4 linked regions of the Mus musculus genome follow. The main gene of each other region encodes a partner of the protein of the gene in region 2 in a complex. Links are inferred from orthologs where the notes say so. Each region holds a gene or a part of one and is shown on either strand. Other genes may lie near its edges.

The links. Proteins that work in one complex are often made in the same cells at the same time.
Region 1: Pak1 (region 2) and Dab2ip share a complex: the UniProt entries of both Homo sapiens proteins name them as parts of the cytoplasmic complex. The link is inferred for Mus musculus from reciprocal best matches to the Homo sapiens genes PAK1 and DAB2IP.
Region 3: Pak1 (region 2) and Map3k5 share a complex: the UniProt entries of both Homo sapiens proteins name them as parts of the cytoplasmic complex. The link is inferred for Mus musculus from reciprocal best matches to the Homo sapiens genes PAK1 and MAP3K5.
Region 4: the proteins of Pak1 (region 2) and Arhgef7 are in contact, whole or in part, in an NMR structure (PDB 1ZSG), measured with the Homo sapiens proteins. The link is inferred for Mus musculus from reciprocal best matches to the Homo sapiens genes PAK1 and ARHGEF7. Residues at the interface, in NP_001363202.1 of Homo sapiens: Thr185, Pro186, Pro188, Val189, Ile190, Ala191, Pro192, Arg193, Lys198, Arg203, Ser204; in NP_001106983.1 of Homo sapiens: Lys192, Phe193, Phe195, Thr198, Asp201, Glu202, Glu217, Gly220, Trp221, Trp232, Pro234, Ser235, Asn236, Tyr237.

The regions. Positions count from the first base shown.
Region 1 is NC_000068.7:35,724,325-35,731,879, reverse strand, and holds the end of Dab2ip (disabled homolog 2-interacting protein), read right to left. Parts: intron 4,455-7,555; coding exon 4,367-4,454; intron 3,823-4,366; coding exon 3,655-3,822; 3' UTR 2,770-3,654; coding exon of another isoform or gene 2,760-2,769; 3' UTR 1,457-2,759; coding exon of another isoform or gene 1,294-1,456; 3' UTR 886-1,293; downstream 1-885. UniProt on the Homo sapiens protein: Functions as a scaffold protein implicated in the regulation of a large spectrum of both general and specialized signaling pathways.
Region 2 is NC_000073.6:97,903,908-97,911,462, forward strand, and holds part of Pak1 (serine/threonine-protein kinase PAK 1), read left to right. Parts: intron 1-730; coding exon 731-927; intron 928-3,900; coding exon 3,901-4,038; intron 4,039-7,188; coding exon 7,189-7,275; 3' UTR 7,276-7,555. UniProt on the Homo sapiens protein: Protein kinase involved in intracellular signaling pathways downstream of integrins and receptor-type kinases that plays an important role in cytoskeleton dynamics, in cell adhesion, migration, proliferation, apoptosis, mitosis, and in vesicle-mediated transport processes.
Region 3 is NC_000076.6:20,096,370-20,103,924, forward strand, and holds part of Map3k5 (mitogen-activated protein kinase kinase kinase 5), read left to right. Parts: intron 1-3,135; coding exon 3,136-3,263; intron 3,264-3,691; coding exon 3,692-3,828; intron 3,829-7,555. UniProt on the Homo sapiens protein: Serine/threonine kinase which acts as an essential component of the MAP kinase signal transduction pathway. Plays an important role in the cascades of cellular responses evoked by changes in the environment.
Region 4 is NC_000074.6:11,816,402-11,823,956, reverse strand, and holds part of Arhgef7 (rho guanine nucleotide exchange factor 7), read right to left. Parts: intron 6,298-7,555; coding exon 6,073-6,297; intron 4,320-6,072; coding exon 4,226-4,319; intron 1,998-4,225; coding exon 1,908-1,997; intron 1-1,907. UniProt on the Homo sapiens protein: Acts as a RAC1 guanine nucleotide exchange factor (GEF) and can induce membrane ruffling. Functions in cell migration, attachment and cell spreading. Promotes targeting of RAC1 to focal adhesions. May function as a positive regulator of apoptosis.

The sequences.
Region 1 (7,555 bases), on a different chromosome or scaffold from region 2:
ACATGTGATCAGGAATCCTCATTTAACTGCAAGACTCGTTTCTTTTAAAAAAAAAAAATCCTGGTAGTGTTATCTGCTTGTTTTTTATACATTTCTCACTGTAGCCTAAACTGGCCTCTGGGTAGGCATTTTCTTTATGTTTCGGTGTAGCCAAGTGTAGGCAATTTCTCATTTGCAATCTGACAGACAGATCTGTTCTCACGAGGGTGAATGCTTGATGGTCCTTGCTTATTAGAAGGCCTAAAAACCCTCCAACTGCTTTTTTCTTTTTCTTTTCTATTTTTTAGGGGTCTGGAGGTGTTTTTGTGCCAGTTTGCTCTGGGCTTCTGTGTGTTCTTGCCCTTGTAAGGCTGAACTGCTCATGTTCAACCCAGGGTTATCGCACATCAGAAGACAGGATCCCAAACACTGACAGATGCGGGACAAACCGCTGGGGACGCAAGGCACTCACTCATCCAGCAGGTACGGCTGAAGTGCTCTCAGTGAGTTCATTTCCAGCTCAGGAAAACCTGACCCTAAAAACCAAGCACTAGATGCGTGGGGTCAGCCAGCCTTAGCCTCCCCTCACTGGTAACCCTGGGCAGAGCAGAGCTCAGCTCTTCTCTCATCAGGTTGCAGATTAATAGGGTCGACCTAGAACCTCTGCAGCAGGAAGCATGGCAGCTCTCAGCTCCCAGGAATCACTGGGGCTCCCAGCCTGTGCAGGTCGGGAGGGCCTTTAAGAGGTCAGCTGCTCCACTCCCAAGCACAGGGCTTTCCACAGAGAGGAGGGGCAGTCCCAGGTCACCCAGGTAGGGGTCATGACTAGAACAACAGTATTAGGTCAAGATCCAGTTACCTGTAGGAAAACAAGCCAGGACACAGATGAAGAAAGGCAAGTCAGGCTTAAAATAGCTAAATAAATCTTTAATATTTCTAATTGCAAATGTACAGAAATTGCACAGCCACACGGAGTCTTCGAACACCAACAACTTCTCTGTACATTATTACAGGGTTAAAAGTCTCGACTGGAGGGAAGGGCTCCGGCCGATCCAACCTTTGCATTTTTCCTTTTCACATACTTACAAAAGGGGGAGCTGGGCACAGTGGGGGATCGGGTAGCCTTGTGGCCGAGTATATAGAAAAGAGGGGCTGGTTCCCTGGACAGTCTGGCTCCCAGACCTATGAGTATGAGGGAGGAGTGTCCCTCGGGCAGGTGCTGGGGTACACGTTGAGCTCTGGCCCTGGTCCCCACCCCTACTCCTGGGCAGTCAGAGGTCTTCACTCAGAGGAAGTTTGGCAGTTTCCTTCACCCTAACACACAAGTTGAACAAAAAGGTCAGGTGTCTGTGTTGGCAAGGGTGGGGCCGCTCTCTCCATCAGATCTTGGGTGTCAGTGGCCAGGGTCTTCCCAGAGCAGGGCCTCTGGCAACTCCAGCCCTTGCTGTAAGCAGAGCTCAGACGCCCCAAGCCGTTGCTGTGGGCAGGAGGATGCTTTACTGGCCCCACTGGGGCATTTGCCCCCATCAACCTTCCACCCAAACAGCATGCTTGAAAGCCAACGAATCAATGCCCCGGGCAGGAAACAGACAGACAGACACCTAGACTGCAAAGCTCTTTGTCCTGCCCAGCACCGTTCTCCAGGCTCTAATATCAACCGTGAGAGCAGTGTCCTGGCCAGCCCTCGCAGCACCAGGACTAAAGGACTATGTACATCCCTTGGGTGAAATAGTTCCATTACAGTCAAACACCAAGAACATTTACAAAAAAAAAATTTACAAAAAAAATATTGCAGACTTGCAATTAAGATAAAAATCTGTGGAGAGTCTGTACACTTTTACAGTTTTTGCACTAGGTAAATAAGGCTCTCGGCCTGAGAGCTAACAACCCCACCAGAGGGGGCCATTGCATCTGGCCCTGCGCTCTCCTGTCCAGGCCTGGGGACCTCCCCATATTGCTAGGAGGCGCTCAGACAGAGGTCACTTTACGAGGCATGGGCGAGAGTGTGGGTGAGGAGGAAAACAGGGCTCCCTGGGCAGTGGAAGGGCAAGACCCAGGCCAGGCCAGGCCAGGCCAGGCCCTGCCCAAGAGGCCACCCCTGCTGAAATGCATGGGAGCAGGGGTGTGGACAGGAGTGGGGCAGGAAGAGGCAGTGGCAGGCCCTCAGCCCCACCTCCTTCCTTCCTGAGGTCTCTGACCCTTGATAGCCACGCCCTCTCCCAGCATTGGTCTGCAGCCTAACTGGGTTCTTTTACCCTTGCCTGTCCATCGTGGACTGAGGACAGGGCGCAGCCTAGCTAGGCCACACCTCAGGATGTCCACGCTTTCTAGTGAGGACTCTAGGAGCATTAAGTGCAGCTTGCCTAGCCCCATTCTGCTGCCTGGGCAAAGCCTAGCTCCTGCCCTAGGTGACTCAGAACCAGGGCTTGGAATCTAGAGTGTGGGAACAGATGGGGACCCAAGAAAGACCCAAGCTCCTGCCCTTCTCTGTCCCACAAAGGGGGGGGGGGGAGGGACAGATATGCTACAGAACAGCCTAGAGCTGGGGAAAACCAGCCCCAGCTGTGGGGGATGCCCCTCCCTGCCTGCAGTGCCTGGGTCCTTGGCTGGGGCTGGGAGGGTGAGGAGAGGCGACTGCACACGGGGCCTGGTGCAGGCTGCTGCTGTCTTGGAGAGGGAGCAAGTCTAACATCCTCCAGGGCCGCTATTTCCCATGCAGTGCGCTCGCTCAATTTAAAAGGCCCCTGTGTTCCAGCAAGCGAGCAAGCGGGCTTTTGTTTCTAATGCATACTGTGAAAGGAAAAAAAATCACAGTTATCCACCTTCTCAGGGCCGGCAGGCTTTAGAATTCTTTCTTAAACTATCAGAGAAGAGAGATCACCTTTGCAGGGTGAGCACTGGCTGGCCTCTCCCCACAGGGCCACTGTGCAGGCCACACTGGGACCCTGGAGAAGGCAGCTACAACGCATGGTGCAACCTGGCCACCTCTGCCCAGCTCTCTGGCTTCTGGAGTTCCAAGAGCATGAGCCAGGCCCGCATGTGAAGTGTGGGAAGCTATGGCTCCTCCCACGGGTATGAGGGCCCAGCAGAGAAAGTGCAGTGCTGTCTGTTTGGCAATGCAAGGAAGGAAGGGAAGGAGGGTGGAGGGTGTCACGTCTGGGATGGGCATAGGACCGAGGTTCTGTTCTTCAGTTCCTCACCCCCTGGAAGGGTCCCTGACCAGCTGCATGCAGTGGCAGGGGCTCAGGGCAGAGATGAACAGGGGCCACTCTGCCTGTCAACTACTCCATCAGGTCCTGGGGGCCATGGGAAACCCACAGCAGTGGCCCCTAAACCTTCCTTGAGCCCTTTGCAGGTAGCTTCCTCCATGGGAAAGGGTAAGGAGGGGTACATGCACCTGGCTGCTCAGAGAGAAGGTGCCACATACCAAACTCAACAACCAGAGACACATTCGGCAGGCCTCCCTGCAGACTGGCCCCACTCCCCAGTGCAGTCTCCGCTGCCTCTACCCACACCCACTGTTCAGGTGGGCAAAGAGAAGGGGGGCCACTGTGCCCTCAGTCTCACGCTCCATCAGTCTTACGCCCCCTCCACTGCAGGCTAGCCTGCAACTGTGGGAGTCTCCTGACGGAGACCCTGTCCCGGGCCACCACAGTCCCCCTCTCCTCAGGCAGGTTAACAATTGCTGCTGTTTCTGAACTCGCCGTTCTCAGTAATCTGCAATTTGGTGGGGTTGGTGGGGGAGACGCCGTTACGGGCTTGCATGCTGTACCTCTCTTTCAGCTGTGTGAGGGCACTCATGAGGCGGGCATTGGCAGCATCCAGCGAGGCAATGCGCTTTTCCTGTGGGCAAAGAGGGCATTAGTGATGCTTGAGGTGGGCTCTAGCCAGCAGTAGCCAGCAGAGAGCACCACGACAGGCCAGAGAAGTGTGTTAGGCCCAAGCTGTGGAGTAGCTGGGCAGGTTCTGTGCTATCACAGACTGGGGCCTTATAATTTGCCTCCTACCTATACAAAGCTAAAGCGGAGCTATAGCACCTGAGCTCGAAGGCAGAGCCTTTCCTCTCACACTGTCACACACCCAGAGCTCCTTCCTAGGCTATGTAGCTTACACTCTAACCAAACCTGCCAATTCTTGGGGCATTCAGAGAAAGGGACACAGCTGTGAGTGAAGGGGCTTGGGGACCAGAGCCCTTCTGCCTAGCCTTCTTTCACCTTCCTAGTCCTGCCTACTCCACTTCCATAAGTCCCTGGTTAGCATCCTCAGAGCCCAGAGACCTTGGTTCCTGGTCCATGGTTTTTACACTGAGGTGTAACCAAGGATACCAGAGAAGCTAGTTACACTCGAACTACCCCAAACTCTGTAACACTGTAGCCAGAGCCCCAACCTGGGCATCGATGATCTTCTGTTTGGAATCTACAGCTGCTTGCATCTCTGCATGATCCTTCTTCAGTTCTTCTTCCACTGACATCAACCTGTGAACAGAAATGCAGAGTCAGGAGCACTAGGAGGAGGAAGTATACTGTGGGGCCTGTGGGAAACCATCCTATCTAGAACTGTCCCCCAAGCAGTGGCATGGCTGGGCTACCCTGTCTTGACCTCAACTCTCCCTCTGCAACTCTGCTCTCTGGGGCTATTTCCATTCCAGTGCACTTCTAAGACCCAAGGAATGTCATGTTATAGGATCTGTGGCAGAGGATATGGTGAAGGCTCTAGAGAAGGCTCTAGACCCCCTTCTATCATGTTTCCTGAGGTGGTATGGACTTTGTGAAGGCACAAGGTTCAGGGGCTCACTACACCAGGAACTTCACACTAGGTTGTAACTACAGCCTGCACAGCAGCTGTAGTGGGGTGCTGGTATCAAAGTGATGAGGGAGTTCAGGAAGGACAAGGTGGAGGACCTACAGGAGCTCCAGGCAAAGGTGGACCCTACCAATTCACCCCAAATCTCTGTAGGAATCCTAATTCTTCCAAATTCTACCTGGGAGCATCCCACAGGCTAGATGTGGGGGGAAAATGGGCCATAGGGGGCCATGAAGAATTCTGGGAAGGCAGCTACACTGTGGAATGGCCAGATGAGACCAAGTCTGAGGCCTTCAGGTCCCACCCTAGTGAAGCTCCAACGTGCCTGGCATCCCACCAGAGCTGCCAAGGATGCAGAGATATAAGGAAATAAAATCTACAACCAGGAGACAAATCAGTGAGAACAGCTGAGATGTCAGATGGGAAGTAGGTGACGCTGTGAGGCAGCAACTGAAGGGACATTCTACATGCCCAAGAGACAGTCTTAACCATGAGGAAAGTAGAAGAGGTTTAAACCACAGTGAAACTCTAGAGACTTGAAGGAGCAAGGGCTGACTGCAGGCACCGGCACCGCAGAAACGTTGGTATGCCATTCAGATCACATGTGAACCAGGCCTAGGCACAGGCCTGTAACCCTAGCTAGCTATCTGGGAAATTGATGCAGGAGGATGACAGCAAGTTCAAGACCTTTTGGGTTGTAGGCAAGTTCAGGGAGAGCTTGGAAAATTTACTAACAGACTGTCTCAAGTACAAAGGTTGGGGTGTAACTCAGTGACAGACAACTGTCTAGCTTGCCCAAGGCCCTGGGTTCAATCCTCACCCAGGAATATAAAAATGTATATAAAGTAAAACTCAGAGAACAATGGAAAAAGAAAACAACTGTGGGGGCTGAAGAGATAGCACCATGGTTGTGAATACCTTTTGTTCTCACAAAGGACCTGAGTTCAGTTCCTGGCACACACATGGCAGCTCAAGCGCCTCTAACTCCAGCTCAGGAGATCCGAGACAGACCTGCATGCAGGCAAATCACCCATCCATATAAAATAAAATAAAAGGGAGAAAGAGAAGGAAGAAGAAAACAATGAAGGAACAGCGAAATGGGAGACAGTACAGAGGAGCCCACTGTACCTGAGGGCAGGCAACGGGAGCCCTAGAGGAAGAAGTAGGAAGCAGAGCCATCCACCTACAGATCTCAGCCCAGCAAACCCAAGAGAACCACAGCAGGTGAGACTGTTGACAACATTTAATGAAAGGAACACTGTGAAGAGGCTTAGAGACTTGAGATTAATCTCCAGAACCCACGGTGGAGGGAAGCCTCCTGGATGATGTCCTCTGACCTACAGCCCCCCAGACACCTACATAACTATACAACCACACACACACACACACACACACACACACACACACACACACACACGAAACTGTCCTCTGACCTACACCCCCCCAGACACCTACATAACTATACAACCATACACACATGCACACACACATACATGAAGCTGTCCTATGGCTACACTCTCCCCCACCCCTACATAACTATACAACCACACACACACACACACACACACACACACACGAAGCTGTCCTCTCCTCTGACCTACATCCCCCCAGACACCTACATAACTATACAACCCCCACACATGAAATTGTCCTCTGACCTACACCCCCACAGACACCTACATAACTATACAACCATACACACACACACGAAGCTGTCCTATGGACTATTTACACATGCCTACACACCTAGCCCTACACACACATACATATATGCCCCAGTAGTAGATAACATTAAAAAAATTTCAATGTTATGGATCCAACCAAGGGTCTGTGCACGCCAGGCAAGCATTCCAACAATGAGCAAAGCTCTAGCCCAGGAGAGGTACCTTAAAAACAGCGAGAGAAAAAGGAGACTGTAAAACAAAAAACAAAACAACAAAAAACAAAGACAGGGCAATGTTCTTGCCACTGCAGCCAGGGAGGGGTCACATCAAGCCACCGCCTCCTCTGTAAGCCCTGACATCACCCAGCTCTGCTGTGAGAGCAGGTGAAAAGGAGCAGCAAGATCATGTGGCCTGCACAGCCCGGCACGGTTCCCACCTGCCCACTGAGGAAGACTGTTGACTAACACCCAAAGCACTGGGGCCACACAGCATGGAAGCCAACAGAGATGCTGAGGACTAAGATACAGTCCAAGGAACGCAAGAAGGAAGGAAGGAAGGAAGAAAGAAAGAAAGAAAGGAAGGAAGGAAGGAAGGAAGGAAGGAAGGAAGGAAGGAAGGAAGGAAGGAAGGTGCTAATGCTACATATAAACAGGAAAATAGCTTTAAGATTAACAGGCTTAAAATAATCACATTAAAAGTAAATGGCTTAAACGCTCCAATTAAAAGGCAGAAGTTGTTAGACAATAAACAGACCTAACAATAGGAACCTGTAAAATAAACTTTGTGCACAACGATGGGTACTATGGTCTGAAAGTTGGTGTCCACACTCAAATACATGTACACTGAAACTTAACCTCTACGGTGCTACCAGTTGTCCTCTGGGAAGTGATGGGTTACAAGATATTTCTGCCTTCAAGAGCACGGTTAGTGCCCTTACCAAAGGAGCTGGAAGGAGCTCGTCTCTAAGGACATGGCACCAAGGTATATCTATGAAGGAGAGCTACACTAAATCTATTGACACCCTGATCTTAGACATGGCAACCTTCAGAATGGTGAACAGTACATTTCTCTTGTTTATAATCACCTGGTGCTGATATTTTATCATAGAA
Region 2 (7,555 bases):
ACTATTTTTTCAATTCTTTTACACATTATAACACTTCCCTCCTGAAGGCCTACTTCTGAGGTTCTCTGATAGGCGCTGAGGGTACATTTTACCAGCTTTCAAGAAGCTTTCTGTCTAGTATGAGAGACTTGTAATGAATTAGAAAAACGGATTTATGTAACTTTACTTATTCTGTTATTTATTCAGCAAATGTTTTACATGCCAGTCTCTTCTGGGGTACAGAGAAGATAGTCTTCACTATCGGCTCTATCAATTTAGATAAATGTGTAGCTTCAATATAGTGTGAATGAACTACAGGTAGTTTTTTGTACAAAGGAGTGAAAGCAGTTGCCGAGACAGAGGCTATGCCATAAGTGGGTAAACAGTTTATGAGAGGACTATTGGTGCAGGGTGAGGACTTGTTAAAAGTAGGGCCATACTTACGTGTTGGTGGTTGGGTTTTAATTCTGAGACTTTTGTCCAGAGGATAATGGAATGAGTTAATTATAAGACTCTGAGTTATAGGAATGTTTTTTAACCATTTGGTTTGAGGAAAAGGCAGGAGGCTAGAGATATTGTTCTTAATATTTCTCCTACTGTTCATGGTTGAATGAGCAGTGGACTAGTAGCAGTGAGGTGTGTCCTGCTTTGGTGAGACAGAGATTGCAGACAAAGCCTGCTGCCCATGTGTAAGGACACAGCACTTACTGATGGAGTATCCTAAGTGTGTCTTTCTTCTCCCCCTTTCTAGCTGACTTTGGATTCTGTGCACAGATAACTCCAGAGCAGAGCAAAAGGAGCACCATGGTGGGAACTCCATATTGGATGGCACCTGAAGTTGTGACACGCAAGGCCTATGGACCCAAGGTTGACATCTGGTCCCTGGGCATTATGGCAATTGAAATGATTGAGGGGGAGCCCCCATACCTCAATGAAAACCCTTTGAGAGTAAGTGTTCTCATCTTCTTGCAAAGTATTTGGGCAACTGACTCTAATCCTAGGAAATTGTACTCAGGCTCTTCTCTCTGTATACCCGGGCATAGTTATACATTCTTGTACTCCTAGACTTACAAGACTGGGATAAGAAGATTGCCAGTTTTTGAGACAAACTTGTCTCAAAAGCAAAAATATGGACCTGGTAAGATGACTCAGTGAGTTAAGGCTCTTCCTGCCAAGCCTGATGACTTGAGTTTAATCCAGGGACATACATGGTGAAAAGAGAACCAATTATCACAACCTGCCCTTTGATTCCCATATGAGATATATGGTACACATGTGCCCACACTAAATACATGTGTATACACTAAATAAATAAGTATATATAACATGCATTCAACAGATACTGTTGAATTTAAAATATAAATGAGCCGGGTGTGGTGGCGCATGCCTTTAATCCCAGCACTTGGGAGGCAGAGGCAGGCGGATTTCTGAGTTCGAGGCCAGCCTGGTCTACAAAGTGAGTTCCAGGACAGCCAAGGCTATACAGAGAAACCCTGTCTCGAAAAACCAAACCAAAAAAAAAAAAAAAATTGTTCTGATAATACCAAGTGATTCTAGAGTAGCAGATGGTAACTGCTATGGAGAAAAAAAATGTAGAATAAGAGCAATTGACAGAGTGATAGGGAAGGCTTTATTTAGAGGAACGTTTTCTTTTATTAGTTATTTCAGCAGAAACATGAAGGAGTTAAAGGAGTAAGCCATGAGATTTAGTTTCATGCAAGTGTTTACAGGTATCAAGAATCCCATTTGGTTTTTGCCTGGAAAAATCATCGGAGGCTATTATTTCCCAAAAAGGAGAGAGGAGAAAGTAGACTGGTAGCCAGAGTCAGCAATAAGAAAGGGCCAGCCACTAAGTCTTGTGGGCCAGTGTGAGAACTTGGCTTTTATTTTGCATCATTAGAAAGGATTTTCAGCTAGATAATAAGAGGATCCAGTCTGTACTTGAAATGAATGAATGGTTAGGCTGCTTCTTTAGGAAATAGACAATGAGAGACTAACAGGATAGTTCAGACAAGAGTGGTTGCTTGGGTCAGAATACAGGTGAGAAGTAGACTTGGGAAGAGCTGCCAGGATGCCCTGAATAGTAAAGAAGTGGAATCAGCAGTCACCACGGCACGCAGTGCTGACAAGTTCAGTTGTCCTTTGTTACTTCTCTGTTTGGTCTGCTGTGATGAAAGTACTGGGACCGAGGCAAGTTACAGGAGAAAGGAATGTATGCTTATGTTTCCAAGGGGATAAGAGTTCATGATAATAAGGAAGTGGCAAGTATGTTAGCAGGAACTGGATGCTGAGAGCTTCTATCTTGAAATACATGTGAGCCAGAGAACAAACTGGAAGTAGGGCAAACAAAACCGAGAGCTCTGAAACTCTGCCTCCAGCAAGGCCTTCATGGCCAGTTAGTAGATTGATGGGAACACATGCCTAACTTGAGTAAAACCCATAAGAGCAGAAAAGGAGAAAACTGAGATGGCATTTACAAGTGTTTTCTCCTCTTACATGAGTTTTGTTACGAAGGGTGACAGGGAAATGGAGCAGTCTCTCTCTTTCTTTGTTTTTGTTTTTGTGTTTTGTTTTTCTTCAAAACAGGGTTTCTGTATAGCCCTGGCTGTCCTGGAGCTCTCTCTGTAGACCAGGCTGGCCTCGAACTCAGAAATCCGTCTGCCTCTGCCTCCCAAGTGCTGGGATTAAAGACGTGCACCACCACTGCCCAGCAGTCTCTTGTAGAGTTGAAAAGGGTCAGCTAAAGGCTGTGTGTTAGCTAGTGGAAGGGAATTGGTGGTAATGGGAGAAGAAATAGAGTATACAATAAAGATGCAAGGAAGGCGGTGACTTCGATTGTGGACAAATAGGAATAGGAAGTTACTTTGTTTTTACTTTCTCACTTAGTTCATCTTCCTATCTAGTGCAGGAATTCCCCTGTAAGAATATCTACGCTTAACTACATGCTCAGATCACCCTTGGATAGTTCCAGTTGCTGGAAAGTGCTTCATTGTCTCAAAAGGAAACTTTCTTCTCTAGTTTCGACTTTATTGTCCCAGCTTTGCTCTCTCACTCCACATGTAACACAACCTCCTCTGCCTCAGATATGAAGGTAATCAGTGTGGTGTGGTGGAAATAAAACTGAATTAGAGTCAGCACGTGCACTCAGAACAGTGAATGCAACGGCTGGAGAGCCTTACATGTGAAATGGGAATAACCATTTTGCCCCACCTCTGAGTTACTGTGGTCACTTAAAATGAGTGTAGCTGGGTGTGGTAGTGCACACCTTTAATCCCAGCACTAGAAGTCAGAGGCAGGCAAATCTCCTATGTTCAAGGCCAGCGAGGGCTATACAGAGAAACCCTGTCCTGAAAAACAAAGCAAACAAACAAGAGTGAGAGATGGGGAGAGAGAGCGAGAGCGAGCTTTGTAATTAAAGAGCTTAGTGTTTATGAAGGTTTACTATTACTGTTTTTCTTCTCCCAAGAGCTGCTTCATATTAGAGCAGGGAAGCAGCAGCGAAACCGTTGCTGTCTCGCCAAGCATGGCTTTTTCCTCTTGGGTGGAAGCCTCAGCAGCACATTTCTGCCAACAACTAAACAAAGGGACGTTTACCTTGCCGTGCTAAGTGAAGAATAAACCCTTAGGTTTGTAACACCTCATACGTTTACAAAGTGCTTTCCAAATGCACGCTAAAGACATTTTTGTGGCTATATAAAGCATTATATAGCAAAGAAGTTATATGTTAGGTGCATATATACAGTCATATGACTGTGAATGTCAAGCCTGATTAGGTTAGTATGTTCTCTTCAGGACATCCCCGCTGATCAGAGCTGTGTGTCAGAGCACACAGAAGCTGGCTGTATTTTAGAGAACGTGTCTCGATAGTAACAGAAAGAACCTCAGGGAGAGCACCACGTGACTCTTCATTTGTATTGCTAGGCCTTGTACCTCATTGCTACCAATGGGACGCCAGAGCTTCAGAACCCAGAGAAGTTGTCAGCTATTTTCCGGGACTTCCTGAACCGCTGTCTTGAGATGGATGTGGAGAAGAGAGGCTCAGCTAAAGAGCTGCTGCAGGTAACTGTCCTTCTGCAGGGAGGTGCCTACCCAAACCTTTTCATCTCATTTTTGTCTGCGTTTGCTGATTTTAGGCTTCTTTCCTACCATTTCACTTTGTATTTCTAGCTCCCTGTCACTCTTGGGCTTTGCCAAGTCTGCCCTCTGTTCCTCACCCTATATCCCCCTCCCCCAAGTCCCTGGTCTCCAAGAGGATGTCCCCGTCCCCACCCCACCAGACCTCCCCACTCACTGGGGCCTCAAATCTCTTGAGGGTTAGGTGCATCTTCTCTGACTGAGTCTAGACCCTGCAGTCCTCTGCTGTATATGTGTCTGGGGCCTCATATCACCTGCTGTATGCTTCCTGGTTGGTGGCTCAGTGTGTGAGAGCTCTCTGTGGGTCCAGGTTAATAGATACTGCTGGTCTTCCTATTGGGGGTCGCCCTTCTCAGCTTCTTTCAGTTATTTCCTAATTCAACCACAAGGGTTCTCAGCTTCTGTCCATTGATTGGGCATAAATATCCGAATCTGACTCAGCTGCTTGGTGTGCCTCTTGGAGGGCAGTCATGATAGGCTTCTGTTTGTAAGCACACCATAGCATCAGTAATACTGTAATCAGGCCTTGGAGCCTCCTCTTGAGCTGGATCCCAAATTGGGCCTGTCGCTGGACCTCCTTTCCCTCAGGCTCTTCTCCATTTTTGTCCCTGCTGTTCTTTCAGACAGGAACAATTCTGGGTCAGAATTTTTGACTGTGGGATAGCAACACCATCCCTCCACTTGATGTCCTGTCTTTCTACTGGGAGTAGATTCTACTAGTTCCCTCTTCCCACTGTAGGGCATTTCATCTGAAGTTCCATCCTTTGAGTCCTAAGAGTCTCTCTCACCTCCCAGGTCTCTGGTGCATTCTAGAGGGTACCCCCCACCTCCTACCTCCTGGGATTGCCTGTTTACATTCTTTCTGCTGGCCCTCAGGGCTTTAGTCCTGTCTCCCCCCACCCCCAATACCCGATCATGTTTCCCCTTTTCCCTCCTTGTCCCTTTTTCCACCCAGGTTCCTCCCCTCCCTCTGTGTCGCCCCACCCCCACCCCCTGTGATTGCTTTCTTCTTCTCCCAAGTAGGATTGAGGCATCCTCACTTGGGCCCTTCCCCTTGTTAACCTCCTTGAGTTCGGTGGATTGTATCCTGGTATTCTGTACTTTTTTGGCAAATATCCACTTATTAGTGAGTACATACCATGCATGTCCTTTTGGGTCTGAGTTACTTCACTCAGGATGATATTTTCTCATTCTGTCCATTTGCCTGCAAAACTCATGATGTCCTTCTTAATACTTAATTGCTGAGTAGTATTCCATTGTGAAAATGAACCACATTTTCTGTGTCTCTTCTTCCATTGTGGATCATCTGGGTTGTTTCCAGCTTCTGGCTATCACAAATAAGGCCACTATGAACATGTGCTCCTGTGGCATGGTGGGACATCTTTTGGGTATATGACCAAGAGTGGTATAACTGGGTCTTCAAGTAGATCTATTTCCAATTTTCTGAGGAACCTCCTGATTGATTTCCAGAGTAGTTGTACCAGTTATCCCACCAGCAATGGAGGAGTGTTCCTCTTTCTCAACATCCTCGCCAACATGTGCTGTTATCTGAGTTTTTTATCTTAGCCATTCTGATTGGTGTAAGGTGGAATCTCAGGGTTGTTTTGATTTGCATTTCCCTAATCACTAAGGATTTTGAACATTTCTTTAAGTGTTTCTCGGCCATTCGAGATTCCTCTGTTGTGAATTCTCTGTTTAGCTCTATACCCCATTTTTTGATTGGGTTGTTTGGTTTTTTGGAGATAGCTTCTTGAGTTCTTTATATATTTTGGATATTAGCCCTCTATTGGATGTGGGGTTAATGAAGATTTTTCCCAATCTCCTTAACTTGTCAGTGTTATCTGGTAAACGTTCAAATCCTAGACTTTTCAGAAACTTTAATCATGAAGTTTCATATCTGCTTCTCCTGTGAGAACATATGGATAGAAAGATATAGGAAGAGATATTGGAATTCATATATTTAAGCTTTATCCATGATCATCCATAGTTCTCAGTTCCTCTGTGTATCCTCACTCTGTCCCAATGAAACTTGAATCAACTTTCAGCAAAGAGTGTCTCTGTATATATCTCCATGTGAGTGTCTGTACACATACATAATAATGCTAACTATAGGAATTATAAGAATGATAAAAGAATGAGATGTGTTAAGTAATTACAAACCTCACATTTGCTCAGACAAGGAAATTTAGCTCTGATCTTTATTATCAAATGGAAGAAAGAATCTATATCTTCAAGATAAATGTAAAAAACAAAAATCAAACCCCCAAAACAATCCACCAGTTTAAGTAAGAGACTCTGAGTTACATAAAAAATTATTTCCTATAACATTTTCATATGATATTTTTCTCTTAAATAATTTTTTAAATTGGAAGTATGGCTCAAAGTACATTACAATGTAACATTGTAAAGGACCTTAAAGTCCTTACTGGAATACTTCGCCTTGCTGGAGTCAAAGAGTGAACAAAAGATTCTTAGCCACATATGGTGCATGCTTATAGTTCCAGCTAACAGGTCGAGGGCTGGAGTTTAAGACGAAAGATAGGTGTCTTCTCCAGAAAGAATAGTTACTCTGTTGTTGCCAGAGGTGAATTTTACCCAGGAACAAACAAAACCATGTAAAATGAACTTCTTGTCTTACTTCTTTCACTCAAAATGTCTGTGGATCCATTGTGCTTTCAGTGTGTTAGTTACTGTGCTAATATTCTATATAATGGCATATGACTATGGAACTATTAATTTTTTGAGCTTTTTTTTTTCTTACAGTTAATGACTTACAAATAAAACTTGTATACTTGGTCAATGAGATAACTTACTGGGTATGAGCACCTGCTGCCAAGTCTGACAACTTGAGGACAATTTTCCTGTACCTGTAGTCGTGAAAAGAATTCCTTCTTGCAAATGGACCTACACACACATGCACATCATGGCATGGATGCACCCCCCCCACACACACACAAAAGGATAAATAAACAAGTCAATTCAAGGATGATCTGTCACTGAGGCCCTTACTGTCTGGTAATAGCTGCTATGTAAGAATGGCAAACACTCAACTCATTTGGTTTTTTCTTCTTCTAGCATCAGTTCCTGAAGATTGCCAAGCCCCTCTCTAGCCTGACTCCACTGATTGCTGCAGCAAAAGAGGCAACCAAGAACAATCACTGAAACCACGCTCATCCCAGCCTCATGTGCCAAGCCTTCTATGAAATAAACACTTGTTTCAGGAACTCCGACCCCTCATGTCCTCTTCTCCTTTCCTTGCTTCTCCCATTTCCTGATCTAGTGCTCCCAAGACTTTGATCCTTGGAAACTGTCTAGCACTGAAGAGAATTGCAACTGGACGAGTAATCCAGCAGAGGCCATTTCTAAATAGGAATTCCCTTCCAGTTTGTGGGCATGGAGGGAACTGATGAGCAAGGGTTTACCCGAATAAACCTGTTTCTAC
Region 3 (7,555 bases), on a different chromosome or scaffold from region 2:
CAACTGGCGGTTATCATGTATAAGATTGCGAATTGATCCATTCCTATCTCCTTGTACTAAGGTCAAATCTAAGTGGATTAAGGAACTCCACATAAAACCAGAGACACTGAAACTTATGGAGGAGAAAGTAGGGAAAAGCCTCAAAGATATGGGTACAGGGGAAAAAATCCTGAATAGAACAGCAATGGCTTGTGCTGTAAGATCAAGAATCGATAAATGGGACCTCATAAAATTGCAAAGCTTCTGCAAGGCAAAAGACACTGTCAATAAGACAAAAAGACCACCAACAGATTGGGAAAGGATCTTTACCTATCCCAAATCGGATAGGGGACTAATATCCAATATATATAAAGAACTCAAGAAGGTGGACTTCAGAAAATCAAATAACCCCATTAAAAAATGGGGCTCAGAGCTAAACAAAGAATTCTCACCTGAGCAATACCGAATGGCTGAGAATCACCTGAAAAAATGTTCAGCATCCTTAATCATCAGGGAAATGCAAATCAAAACAACCCTGAGATTCCACCTCACACCAGTCAGAATGGTTAAGTTCAAAAATTCAGGTGACAGCAGATGCTGGCGAGGATGTGGAGAAAGAGGAACACTTCTCCATTGTTGGTGGGATTGCAGGCTTGTACAACCACTCTGGAAATCAGTCTGGTGTTTCCTCAGAAAATTGGACATAGTACTACCGGAGGATCCCGCCATACCTCTCCTGGGCATATACCCAGAAGATGCCCTAACTAGTAAGAAAGAAACATGCTCCACTATGTTCATAGCAGCCTTATTTATAATATCCAGAAGCTGGAAAGAACCCAGATGCCCCTCAACAGAGGAATGGATACAGAAAATGTGGTACATCTACACAATGGAGTACTACTCAGCTATTAAAAAGAACGAATTTATGAAATTCCTAGGCAAATGGATGGACCTGGAGGGCATCATCCTGAGTGAGATAACACAATCACAAAATAACTCAAATGATATGTACTCACTGATAAGTGCATATTAGCCCAGAAACTTAGAATACCCAAGATACAAGGGTCTTATCGGTACTAATGTATATAAGCAGTTCTTGTGTCCACTCATACTGTCTCAAAGTGCTCTTGCTGTCTCTCGCCGATAAAGTATTAAAGGATCACTCTGATGCCTGCCTCCTAATTCCTGTAGCAGTTCTAAAGGCGGAAATAAAAGAAGAATATTATGTCTTAGACATAGGGGAATTTATTTTCTTTTCCCCTTGCCAGACCTCTGAGGAGTATTATATAGCTTATAAAAGTTGATGTCAATTAAGTGAATTTAGATCTTTATTAAGTAAGTGCTCGCACGAGAACTCAGCCTGCACTGCTTCCGGAAAACACCATTATTTAACACTGACTTTACACTTTGTTATTGTCCTTCTAAAAAGCTCCCATCTCTTTAGTTGGATTTGTCATTGGAAGTCTGAACATTCCTTAAGAGTATGTCTGAAGCAAGAGTGAGAGATCATGTTTGTGTATAATATGCCTTAGTGTAATTAGAGCTTTTCATACCTATAGCCTTATTGTGAGAGAGAAAGACATACATAGAGAGAGAGAGAGAGAGAGAGAGAGAAAGAGAGAGAGAGAGAGAGAGAGAGAGAGAAGAGAGAGAAAGTATGTTGGGGGTGTGTGTATGTGAGTGTATGTGTGTGTGTTGAGTGTGTGTGTGTGTGTGTGTGTGTGGACTTGCATTGAATCGTTAGTTATAGTTGCTGATACTCCAGAATATTTAGCTTATTAAATAATGCTTATAGAAGAATGTTGATTTGAACTGCCACTCTAGGTTGCAACAGATCAATCCAAAATGGAATGATTTATGTTCAGGTTTGACATCACGGACACCTAATCTGTTTGTTTATAAGGTCTGACCTTTCCATAAATCAAGATTTATAGCATCCAAAGGAGCCCACCCAGTCTACACCATTGAAATAAGAACATTCTCCCTGCTTTGATACATGCAAAAATAATAACCTGAAGCCAGCCTGTTGCTTTTTGCACTGTGTTGTTGTCTCATTCTTGCTTAAATGACATGAAGCCTGAGCCGTTCTGTCCTGTCCTGTCTCCTGTCTGTTTAGACCAGATCCTGTCATGAATCACCAATGAAAGCCAATTAATCATTAAAAGTTGATTTGTTGAAATTTTATTATTTGACAATCTATGCAATAGATGCATAAGTGCTCACTGATCTTGCTAGTCTTCAGAATATCAGCTTTACAAGGCCTCTTTTTTTTTTTTTTTTTTTAAGGTTTTTCGAGTCAGGGTTTCTCTGTATAGCCCTGGCTGTCCTGGAACTCACTTTGTAGACCAGGCTGGCCTCGAACTCAGAAATCTGCCTGTCTCTGCCTCCCGAGTCCTGGGATTAAAGGCGTGTGCCACCATGCCTGGCTCTACTAGGACTCTTTTAATGAGCAGATACACTGTGCTAGTTCAGAAATATAAAACAGGTTGATACTTTGTTACGGTTGCATACACTAAGCACATGATTGTGAACTCTGGTATACAGCTGGCCTTTCAGTGTAGAGGTTTGTTTAGGATCTGGTGAAAAGTCATAGTGTGATAGACTTTGTCGATTCAGAAGGTGAGCGGTTTGAATGAGCAGAGAGAAAGGAATTGGAACATGAATGGTTTTGTCGTTCTTACTAAAGAGTTGATGAACCATCGGGAAGTTGTGACTGAACATGATTAAGACATTAGGAATATTTGTCCCCTGATGGAGTGGTTACGATGCTGAAGCCAGTGGAGCAGGCTGCCATGCTAAAAAAGTGGTGTGAATAGTATCTAATCTCCTAGGTCAAGACTTAAGTCTGCCACTAGCTTTGTGATCTTTGGTCATTCTTCTATTCATCACTTCTCTTGTCTGTAAAATGGTGTCCCATAACTAGTACGTTTAGTGAAAAGAAATGAGTTGATCTATGCAAGGAGCTTGAACAATATCCAACACTTCCCCTCAGTCCTGCTGCAGCTGCAATGTCATAGAATTTATGAGAAATAAAGGCCTTGGACGGTCATTGGTTTTATTTGTGGGCACAGTTTAGCTGGTGTTTTTAGTGTTGCTTAAGTTAATACTCTAAAGTCTGTCTGATGCTTAGCGTACTGACATTTGCGTGTCTTCCAGATACTCTCAGCCCCTGCATGAAGAAATCGCCCTGCACAAGCATCTGAAACACAAAAACATTGTCCAGTATCTGGGCTCCTTCAGTGAGAACGGCTTCATCAAAATCTTCATGGAGCAAGTCCCAGGAGGTAAGGGGTGCCTGTCTTACCTTCAGAAGTGTGAATTTCTAAGGCCTGAAGAAGAGCTAGATTGAATGGAATTTGTTAGAGTCCAGATCTTGATTTGTCTGTGTTGAGACAATGGTCAGATGGGTGACATGAACTTGACGCTACTCAGCAGGCAGTACAGACATTTTGAAACCGGTCTAGTTTCAGTCACTGTGGCATGGATTGAATGAAGCTAGCAACTGAGTATCCTATTACTGGCTGCCTTCAGAATAGGGATATTTTCATACATGTTCCTATGTTTCATACATGTTCCTATTTGAACCCAGGCAACCAGCAGAGTCTGGCCTACTGTGAAGAGCCAGTGCATTCTGGCTTCATTTAGTGTCACGCTATGTATTTGCTTTAAAGAGCTTGAATGAGTTTTGCTCACTGTTTCTCTTATCTTATAGGAAGCCTCTCTGCTCTCCTTCGTTCAAAATGGGGCCCATTAAAGGACAACGAACAGACGATTGGCTTCTATACGAAGCAGATACTGGAAGGATTAAAATACCTTCACGACAATCAGATAGTCCACCGGGATATAAAGGTAGGGTGCCCCATGCCTCAGCCTCCTGCGGTTCTTTCTGGGTACTACTATATCCGAAAATGTCATGTTGTGTTCTGAGTGTTCATTGTGAGTGGGGAGTAAGGAAATGGGAGCGGGTAACAGAGCTGCCAGTTCTTGTCCCCTGCGCACAGTTATGTTCATGCCATCGTCTTCCGTATGGTATAGCTTCCTTACGCACTGAAGCAGTAGACTTTGCTGCCATTCTGTGGGGTTTTCTAGGAGCTCTGTAGGGTGGACTTTAGTACTCCCATGTTGAACAGGACATGGCCTCTTCCTGAGGATCTGCCATGCCTATTAATCCTTATATAAAGTACTAAAATAAAAACATCGGCTTCTCTTGAAAAACTGAATGTTCAAAAGTAATAAACCTTAGCTTTTTGAAATTAAAATATAATTACATCATTTCCCTCCTATTTCCCCTTCTCTCTCTCTAACCCTTCCTCTACATCCCCTTGCTTTCTTTCAAGTTCATGGCCTCCATTTCTCTAATTGTTGAGATATATATTCCTAAATGTGTAAATACAATCTGCTCAGTCTATAAAGTGTTTCTTGATTTCAGGGCTGACCTCTTGGGATTGGATAACCAATCTGGGGGCTCCTCCCTGGGGAAGAGTTCTATTTCTCCTGCTCTCAGCATTGCTTATTTGCCTGTAGTTCTTTGTCTAGAGTGGATGTCCCATGAGATTTTTGACTTCCATGTTAGTGTGTCTGTTGGTGTCATCTTTGTCTAGGTCTTGTTTAAGCAGCCACGTTGATGAGACTTCCTGGGTGTAGCCTCTCTCACCTTTCTAGGAGAGGAAACCTCACAGCAAACTTTCTGTTACTTTCTGGATCTTACAATCTTTCTGTCTTCTCTTCTGCCATGACTCTCAAGCCTTTGGTGAAGGAGCTGTGTTGTAGGTGTATGGTTGGTCCAGGGTGACAGACAATACTGTCACTTCTCTGCATTTTGATCAATTACAGATTTCTTTATTGGTCTGTCTATTGCAAAGAGAAGTTGCTTTGATGAGAAATGAGAACTATACTTTTCTGTGGTCATAAGCATAAATGTTTTCAGAATGGAGTTAGGGGTCATGGCGCTTTAGTAGAGTGGTAGATAGTGGATCTCCTCCAAGGTTCATGACTTTATAGTCCCTTGCAATTGGCTGGGTTTCTAGTGCTAAGCTTGATTTCCCTCTTGTTGAGTGAACCTTAAGTCCAGTTAAGAACTCTTGGTTACCAGTAAATATGCTTACCACTATGCTCTTAGGGATACTGTGCGGTGCTAGTTTTGGTTCATAGGCATCATAGCTGGGTACTTCCTTTCTTTGGAAGCTTGCATGGCATCTTCTGCTACAACGAAGGCTCGGCCTCATGGAGGAAGCTCTAAAATCAGAGCCAGCTTGGATCCCTCATGTCTGTGTCCAAAGTATATGGTATGTTCAGCAACAGAGACTTCCGTTCAGCCTCTGGGAAGCATCCAAGGCAGTGACAATAGCCAGGTATAGGGAGTCTCTTCGACAACTCTAACCCACAGCTCAAAAGGCTACGTCTCATGCCTGGTGCTGGGGCTTTTGTTACTAGTGTATGGCTTCTGGGGAGAGCATTGTCAGCCCAGATGGGAAATTTCATATATATAGTATGTGTGCATATGTGTATATATGTATAGGCTTGCATGTCTTATATGTAATTCTGATAGATAATAACTGATTCCTTATGACTTTTTCTTACTCTTATTTTACCCTCTTCTCTCCTGCTTTATTAACTTCCCTCCACCTCCCTAATTACCAGGACAGCCAGAGGTACACAGAGAAACCCTGTTGCAAAAAAAAAAAAAAAAAAAAAAAAAAAAAAGTGCCCCTGCTTTTCCCTCTACAAGTCAGTTGCACCCAGATATTTACCTATATTGATTCCCACCATGCTCCATGGTTCCTTTTACCTTCTGGTTTCTGTGGTTAGTCTAGTTTATTTGCTCACATCTGAAGACTTGGAGCTAGGGACCACAGATGAGAAAGAACATGGGGCATTTGTCTTTCTGGGTTTGGGACATCTCACTCAACATGATCTTTTCTAGTTCTGTCCACCTGCCTGAAAAGTTTATGATTTCATTTTTCTTTACAGCTGAGCAGTCCCCCATGATGTATATGGTCCATGATTTCATTATCCGCGAGTCATTTGACAGATATGTAGGTTGTTTCATTTCCCAGCTATTGTGAACAGAGCAGCAGCAGTCATGGCTGATCGGTGGAGTAGATGTCAAGTCCTTTGGGCATACGCCTAAGCGCGATATAGCTGTGTCATGTGGTAGACTTAGCTTTTTGAGGATTCTCCAAAGCAGTTTGCAGTCCCATCAACAGTGAATGGGGGTTCCCTATACCCCTGTAACATTTGTTGTTGATTATTTTATTGATTTTTGCCATTCTGACTGGGGTAAGATGAAATCTGAAAGTTACTTCAATTTGTATTTCCCTAATCACTAGGGACAAGGGATAATTTTTTCGAGCTATTTCTTAGTTATTTTTATTTCTTCTTTGGAGAACTCTGTTCATATCCCAAGCCCATTTACGAATTGGTCCTTTGGTGTTCTTTGACTCTGATTTTTGAGTTCTTTATGTATTCTATATATTAATCCTCTATCAGATGTATAGCTGGCAAAGATTTCTTCCTAACTATGGGCTTCCTCCTGATTTGATTGTTTCTTAGGTGTGAATAAGCTTTTTAGTTTATTAGGTCCCACTTGTTGATTATTGAAGTCCTGCTTAGGAAAATCATTTTCTATCCCTGTATCTTGCAGGGTACTACCTGAGTTTTCTACTATCAAAAAATGATAACGTTTTGACAGACCCTGGCTTTTTTCTTTTCTTTTTTTTTTTTTAAGATTTATTTTATTTATATGAGTACACTGTAGCTGTCTTCAGACACACCAGAAGAGGGTGTCAGATCTCGTTACAGATGGTTGTGAGCCACCATGTGGTAGCTTGGAATTGAACTCAGGACCTCTGGAAGAGCAGTCAGTGCTCTTAACTACTGAGCCATCTCTCCAGCCCAAGCCTGGCTTTCTTAAAGTATGTTCCTTTGGTAAACAAACAAAATGAGTTCACCTTTTGGTGAATACAAAGCCAAAAAGTGCAACCAGGAGATTAAAAGAGAAGGGCATTTCACTATTGAGAGCAAGCAGAGGTTTTGTACTTTGGGGTTTTTTACTTTTTACTAGCCTGAACAGAGAGGATTTTTCTTGTGGAGCCTCTCCGTGCATACCCATATTGATATTGGAAGGTGCGCATGCTCGAGCACATGTGGCTTAAGGTGTCCATCCTGTGATCATGTTAGGGGCAGAGATCACATGGTCAAAGGGATAAAGGGTGAACATAATACTGCCAGAACTGAGAACTTAGAAGGATAATGAGCAGAGATTACTATGGGCTACCTAGAAGAACGGGAGTGATTGTGTGACTCGTTTCTCTTAAATATGTTTTCAAGCGTGTTAGCCGAGACATATGCCAAACTTTGAAGGTCTTTTAAGCAGGCAGCAGTGTTCTGTGTGTATTATAGGTGTTTGTTTCTAATGCACCTGCTCACTACCCTATAACCAACGTAAATGTCCTAGGTAATCCACAGAAAGTAAGGAACACCACAGAGAAGAGTGCCTGGGAAGTGAAGGAAGTTATTTATATAGATACTGTCCACAGGTGACCCAGGCTAGCTTAAACTGTGGTGAACTTTCCCT
Region 4 (7,555 bases), on a different chromosome or scaffold from region 2:
CCCTGGCTGCCCAGCCCAAATAAGCCCTGGCAGAGTGTGTTCCTATGTCACTTCCCCTGATGTGGAACCTTTACTATCAGAAAGGTGAGTACAGACTGGCAATGCCACCACGTGGAAAGGGAGTTGACAGGAGCAGGGGCAAGGGAACGGGGCAGAAGGAACCGCATGCGTGGTTAGCAATGTGAGCGTGAGCTGGCCAGCAGCTAGGTGGGCATGCAAGGCTGTATGGGGCTCCTGTGGGGAGAAACCACAGGGAAGCCTCGGCAACCAAAGCGGCTGTGCTCCAAGTCTGAAGGCCATTCCTTCTTTGAGACAGAAAGCAACGTCAACTGTGCTTAGCTTGCAAAGTCCTGCTAGCATCCACACATGTAGTGAACAGAGAGAAGCTTGAGGTAACGATATATTAGCATTCTCAAAACGTTCTGCTAGGCATTTAATGTGGAAATGTGCTCCCTAGGAGCCCGTTCCCAAATGCGCTCACCAACCGTATCACCTGTGCAGCACAAACTGTGCATCTATCCCATTTCTCAGAGAGCTAAGAGGAAGCCACGTATGGCTGTAAGCTGAGGCCCCAGGATGCTGGCTGGGAAACAGAACATCAACTGAGTGCACCAGTCGGCACACTGACCATGCTTTCTGCGTGGAAGGAATGGAGTCCGGAGCAGTGCAACAAAGGCTCTGCACAAACCACAGGCTGCCCTCCTCAGGCAGCCGCAGCTCACCCCAGGCACAGTTCCTCACCCAGAGGGAAGTATGGACTGTCACATGCGGGAGTTCACAGAGCAGCCAAGGTCACCTGGGACTATAAGCTGGGGACTCTCATTTCCCTTTAAGCACTTGAAGTGAGGTGACTAATTAAAACCACACATCTAAAATCTATGAAAGTGCTGGCTATGGTTACAACCTATCAGAATACATCACGTTTAATCATCAAAATTACATTCATGAGTCACTCTTCAGCATCACAATTATATATCCCACAGCTTGCTAGGGTGCCCAGGCTTCCTTCCCCACGTCTCTCCTACTCCTCTCAGCAGCTATAACCGGTTTTCCCTTAGAGATGGTAAGGACAAAAAGAGACCTCACTGAACCTCAGCAAGACCTTGACACCATGAGCAGAAGGCAGTGCAAAGCTGCAAGTGGAAGAGGAGGCCCCTCTCTGCCTGTAAACGCTACCGGGGCTGCGCCTGCCAAACCTGCTGGCTAAGCTGCAGGCTCCTCAATCAAAGCTCAAATGGCTGAAAAGTCCCTCCCACTTCTCCTGTCCGATTGGCAAGGTGTGATCTGAGCCGCCACACTGAAGGTGCTGTTAAAATGTGGAGGTGTCTTTCCAAAAACTGGGGTGGAGAAGGGAACAAGGTAGAAGATCCAACGGCAACCAGTTTCTATGCCAACCAGCCAGCTCCAAAACAAACAGAGGGAGGACCGCAGGCCCCTGCCTGCAGGTCAAAGGCAGAGGCCTCTGAGTCAGGCAGTGCTCCTGGATGCTACCACCATGCAGACTCTCACCTGTGAGGAGTTTAGAGAAACTACCTGGTGTCCACCAAAGAAACTACCATTGTTTATTAACAAATACTAAAAACAAAATAAAATTTAAAGGTGATAGAAAGATGGCTCTAGATTTGAATTTTAGATAATTTTTAAAAGGAGAAAAAAAAAAAAAAACCCCAGTAACACCAAAAAAAGGAGCAAAATTTAAGAAACTTCCACTGCCTTCTGCATGCAGCTGCACAGTCCAAGTTTCCTGAAGGATGCTGGCCCTCACACTGGATGCTCCCTAGAACACAGTACTGTGGGACACTGCTACACTACTTGCTAAGCGCCTGAAACCTCCCTCTCAAGAGCAGCTAGTCCGTGCAGCAATTGCTTGTAATCTGTGCCCACACGGGGTGAACTGCGACACTCACTTGAGTTCAGGGTCTGGCGCGTCTTTGCACTTGTGCAATAAGCTTCGATAACCTTCAGGATCTGAGCGTCTTCTTCCAGCGCCGCTGTGCCTGTTGAAATACATGAGCCATCACCACTCAGCACACAGCCCAGAGCTACACAGCGCAGTTCAGATGCCACCCGTCACTTTCTTGTGAGCTAACATTTAGGCTCTCTAAATAGTTATAAATAGCTACACTTAAGAGAGTATAAGGTTTGAAATTCTCATCACAGCTCTGTAAAGTCCTATGTCCCTCAGTCTCTCCACTCACACACACCAGACAGACAGCACAAGACTGGAATATGTGGCCTACAGGAGACAGGAGTAGCCAAAAGACCTCAAGTCTCATGAGAACAGGAAGTGAGACTCAGAGCTAAGCACCCCAAGTGTCATCGGCTGGGCCTTGACACAGTGTGGGTAGGAGAGCTGCAGAGCCATAACGTGAAACTTCTGGAAAGGCACCAGATCACAGGCCTTAAAGGGGCACTGTCTCTGACCCTAGAATTCTTAGACACTAATGTAACAAATTTACCATGCCAAGAACAGAAGTGCTGCAAAGCTCTGCCTTAAATATAGCCTAGCCACCTGGGTACAGGTTTCATCTCCAGGCAGAGGCCAGAAGGAGCTGTCAGGCAGTGGGACCAATCACAGCCCCTTAGCCCGTGCTCAGAAAAGGGTGGCATGTGGAAGAAAGCTACTTGTTTTTTTATATTTTTCTCTCTGGTTCTAAGTTACTTAGCTGTATTTTTTCTTTTCTTTTTTAAGTTCACTACTCTCCAACCATGGGAGACCAGAAGGCTGATACTCTCACAGCTGTAAATAACTATGCCTCCGTAACTTTTATAGGTTTGTTTATTTCACACAAGGCCACACTGTGTAGCCTTGATATTTCTAGAACTTGCTATGTGGCCAGGCTGGCCTCTTATCTTACGGAGATGTCTGCCTCATTCTCTGGAGTGCTAGGACTAAAGGCATGCACCACCATGTCCAGTTCTCAGCAATATTTTCAGAAAGTAAAATGTATATAAGGCAAACCAAGTATTTACTTCAAGACAGAGGACGGCAGTCCTGAGAGCACCCAGCTCACCACCTGCAACAAGTCATGAGGCCAGCTCCCGCAGCTCCTGGCCTCTTCAGAGGCTGCAGGAGACTACAGGAAAGGTTTCATTCCCTCTGGGCAGCAGCAGATCCTTCCCTCAGGGTGCTGGCTGGCTGCTGTCACCAGCTGCTCTGCTCACGCCTGGGTGAGCACATGCATTCCACACAGGGGCAGAGAGCCACTGAAGCCAGCAGCAAACTGCAGGCTCGCTGTGTCCACAGCTATGCCAGTCGCTCTCCTCACAGCTGCAGATGTGGACTACCCATGGACACAGAGCGTCCTAGCCTTCCAAGCTAACCAGTACATTCCAGAAGCTTGAGAGGTGAGTAAGGCTTGCTGAGCATCTGTCTGGCTCACATGTTGAGTGGGGATCAGCAACACAACCCTTCTCTTCAACCCTTGTCCTTGGTCTGCCATATCCTCTCATCCCTAACCCGCTGGGTCTTCTGGGTAAGGATGCAATACTAGACTGCCTCTCTTGTGAGCTGAGCACACACAGCTTTCGCATCACAACCACAGCTCTACTACCACTCACCCTGCCTCCAGGCTATGTCTCCCTAATGCAGGCCCACCCTGCACCAATCAGACAGCTGAGACCCCCTCAGCAAGTGCCCACCCGTGCCCAGGAGGGGGTGCTGCTGCTGTCAGTGCTAACCCTGAGCAGGTGAGCAGGCTGCTGCACAGCACCCCTTCTCAGCAACAGCACCAGTGATCCAGGCACAAGCGAGATGCTTTTACACAGATGCCTGGCTCCCGGGGAGATCCACCCAAGGACCAGTGCTGCAGACTTGGTCTCACAGCTGGGCACAACACAGCATGAAATGTCTGCCAGGACTGAAGGTCTGACTAACATTCGGGTCCCAGCACCCATCGTGTCAGTCACGTGGAAGATACATGGTAAATGCTTATTCAATCGGGCCACCAGGCACTCCTAAGCCCAGCCTTCACTTCTCCTAACAGACAAGCCCTGTGTGAATGAGAGGAATCTGGGTCTAATTCAAATTATAGATCTGCTGGGTGGAGGAAAGGCACCAGGAAACCACAACCCCTCGGAGAGGTGGGCTGGAGTGAGGCTGGAGGAGCAGCCGATGCAGAGACTGCCCTCTCCACTCAGCCAGCTGCTTGTGGAGGTGCGGGCCCTGCTTCCCCTGCACTCCCGCAGCCCACGACGTGCCATGCTCCCACACATGGGCACTCACTCTTGCGCACAGCGAACTCCTCGTCCGAAGGCTTCCGCTCGGGCTTGCGCTTCGGCAGCAGCTTTTTCATGGTCTTGGGGCTCTTACTGAGATCCTAGGGAAACACCGATAATAAACATACTAACAGACTGTATGACACCAGCCGGCCACCACCAAGCACCTCTCACCCCCATCACCAGTTTGTCCATGTTTCTCTGCCAATGCCAACATAAACACAGGCCAAGAGCCAAGAGGACGTTCCATCTTCCCTCACCTACAGGCCTCAGCTCTGACGAAAACCCCTTTGTTAACAAACCCAGACCCCACAGTGTACATGGCAGTAAGGCGTGTGCCGAGCAAAGGAAGGACAGACCGACTCACATGCTCCACAGAGTCAGGACAGGGCTGTCCATTCTAGGGTAGAGAGGGAAGGGAAACAGCAAAGTACAAAATCCCAAAGTTAAAGCAGAGGGGGCAGGCAGGGAACCCATGGCTAAGCACAGACTCCTAGAGACGGGACTTGCTGGCTACTCTGTGAGGCCCATATCCCAGCTCCCAGCAAAGTAGAAATGGATGGTGGCCAGCCACCATCTCAGCCTCTTTCCTTTAAGGTAAAACTGGAGTATGACACAGAACGCTGGATGCAGTAGGCGCAGGCACCTGCCTCCCTCCCCGCAGCTGCTGTTACAAAGGGGCGAGCGAGGCACTTCTATGGCAGAGCAGACTTCATAGCTATCTCTTCCATGGCTAACTCTTAGAGATCCTCCTGTCTTTGTATCTGGGACAGTGGAATTAAAGGCATATGCCACCATGCCAACACAAAACAGACTCTATATTTTGTCTTGTTTTTAAATGTATGCTTGGGTTTTGTTTGTCTTATTTATTTTTGTTTGTTCTGACTTTCCTTTTTTGGTTTGAGAGTGTGAGAGAGAAAGAAGATGAAGATGGGTAGGTAGGGAGGTGGAAAGGATCTTGGAGGTGTTGGGGCAGGAGAAAGAATATGATCAACGTATGCTAGACTTCATTGTTTGAAAGCTCTCTCCTGTGGTCCATGCTGGTCAAACTTAATGTGCTACAGAGAATCTTGAGCAGAAATCAGTTCCAACAACACTGTACTGTGGACTCGACAAACCACTGAAACACAGGAGCATCCACCCAGGGGGCCTGCCCCTCTCACTCTTCTCAGTGTGTCTCGCTCAGTGTGAGTCGCCGTGGTCAGGCTGACACCTACTGCAAACCTGGCTTGTCACACTCAGCAGTGCTGAGCCTCCTCAGGTGAAAGCAGGGTTAGGTGAGCGCATGAGACTTAGTGAAGATCAAGTGCATGGTGGCTGCACTCACATGCAGGGAGAACAGGAGCACTGAGGAAGGCTGCTGCACCTCCCCTCAGTGCAAGGAGGCACTGCCTTCAGGGACCAACCGCTTTCACTAGGGAACCTGCTCTTTACTTCCAAAGGCTTCAGGACTCTGGGACAGATCTTAGGCACAGCAGAATGGCATGCAGTCAGGTGAGGCCCTCGGCCTGCACGTTCGCTCAGGAGCACCTCAGGCTCGGTGCCTCCTGGGCACCACTCCTTCAAGTGTGGGCACAGTGCACAGAGGACTGGAGGGGTGCATGCTCACTCCAGTTTGTTTAAAGGTGACACCTGGCCCTTGTAGCAGAAGGGGATGACATGGAGTAAGGGCAGACCCTCTTCTTGGTTCTGAAGATGCCATGAGGTGGGGCATGTCTTCACACCATGAACAGAAACACAAGACTTTCACTTCTGAAGTCACCGGAAGGACTGCTGTAGCTAAGTGCAGACCTCACATAGAGATGTCAAGGCATGCTCACTGCAGTGGCTGTCTGAGTGGCTGCAGGACCTCACCTCCTTGTAGCAGAGAGCAGCTGAGGGCCGGAGGGGAGGTGCAGGCCGCAGGCAACTCAGGCTCCAAGGCTTGGGGGTCTTCGGAGGCTCCAGGGGTCCCCAGCTGATGGTGGTGTGTGGGGTGCCATGGTGAGAGGGGTGGGGGAGTGTGTGGTACGCAGGCGTCAGTGCCACGGGCTTGCTGTCCGCGTGTTTGCTGGATGGAGTGAGAGGATGGGAAGGAAGCTGCCAGGCACAAAAGCAAGAGCAGAGAGCATGAGATGGGCAAGGCCACTGAGACAGAAGGCCCTAACCACACGGCTCCAGGGACAGGAGCCCAGCGTGTGCTCCTGGGCAGACATGGGGCTGAGAGACCCACACTCTGTACAGGTATCAGCTGCTATGTAGTACTGTATGAGAAGCTAGTACATGTATCACAATTTCACCAAAAGAAAAAACAAAACAAAACAGACTTAAAAAGCTACCAGGTAGGCCCCGACTAGAATATAGTAACTGAGTGGGGGCATGCTCCCTGGACATACACTGTCACCTGTTAACACAAGAATGAGAGCAAGAACTGTCCCTTGGGGGTGGGGGAGGAGGAGGAAGAACTTTCCTCCAGGTGCTGCAGCCAGGCCTATCCCATCTATGGGTCCTCCTGCTTAGGCAAACCCAGTTGCCAGAGCTATGTGAACTCAGGACTACAAACCATTTGGCCTTTACAGGAAGATGTTAATATCTGAAATCAAGATATGTTTATCTTAAAAATCTCAACTTGTTTTAATAAAAGCAGAGCAATTTGAGATCTGATTCTTCAGTGGGGGATGTTATTAATAAAGTTTCTATTCATAGAAAACCCCCAAATCAACCACACTGACAATGAAATGAAAATGTTGATAAAATAAGCAACATTCACGTGAGCTCCTGGACTTCCTGTAGCCAATGCAATTTCAGCACAATTACAGAAGGCCGCTGCGTAGCCTGGGAACTGAACACTGACTGTGACAGTCGGCACCACAGAGCTGAAACCAGAGCCCAACGCTCCAGGCTGCCCACTAGTTGCTGGCTCATGGTATATTACAAAAACACCATAACACTATAGAATACATTTTCTCAAATCAAGGAACCTACACATTAGAAAGCTGTGTCCCATGTCCCTTGTGGCAATAATCAGGTAATAATTAAACACTGGCTTGTTCCTCCTTCCTTGAAAAAGAAGAGCTATGCCTGTGACTAAAATGAGAGATTAACTGATGCCAGACAGAACTGGGTCCCAGGCAGAAAGCTTAGGTATGCCGCCAAGGAATTCCTGGAACAGCAGGCCTTCTCACACTAGCATGAGGGGCATCGCCTTCTCCACAGCAGGACTGACTACACAGCTGCCTCTGCCACGGGATCTTCTGGCGTCCACTAAACAGAGATGGCAGCCCACACATACAGCAGTCACCGTACAGGTGTGGGCAGCCTTGCTTCAGGCTGTTCTGCACATATTCACCCAGGCAGC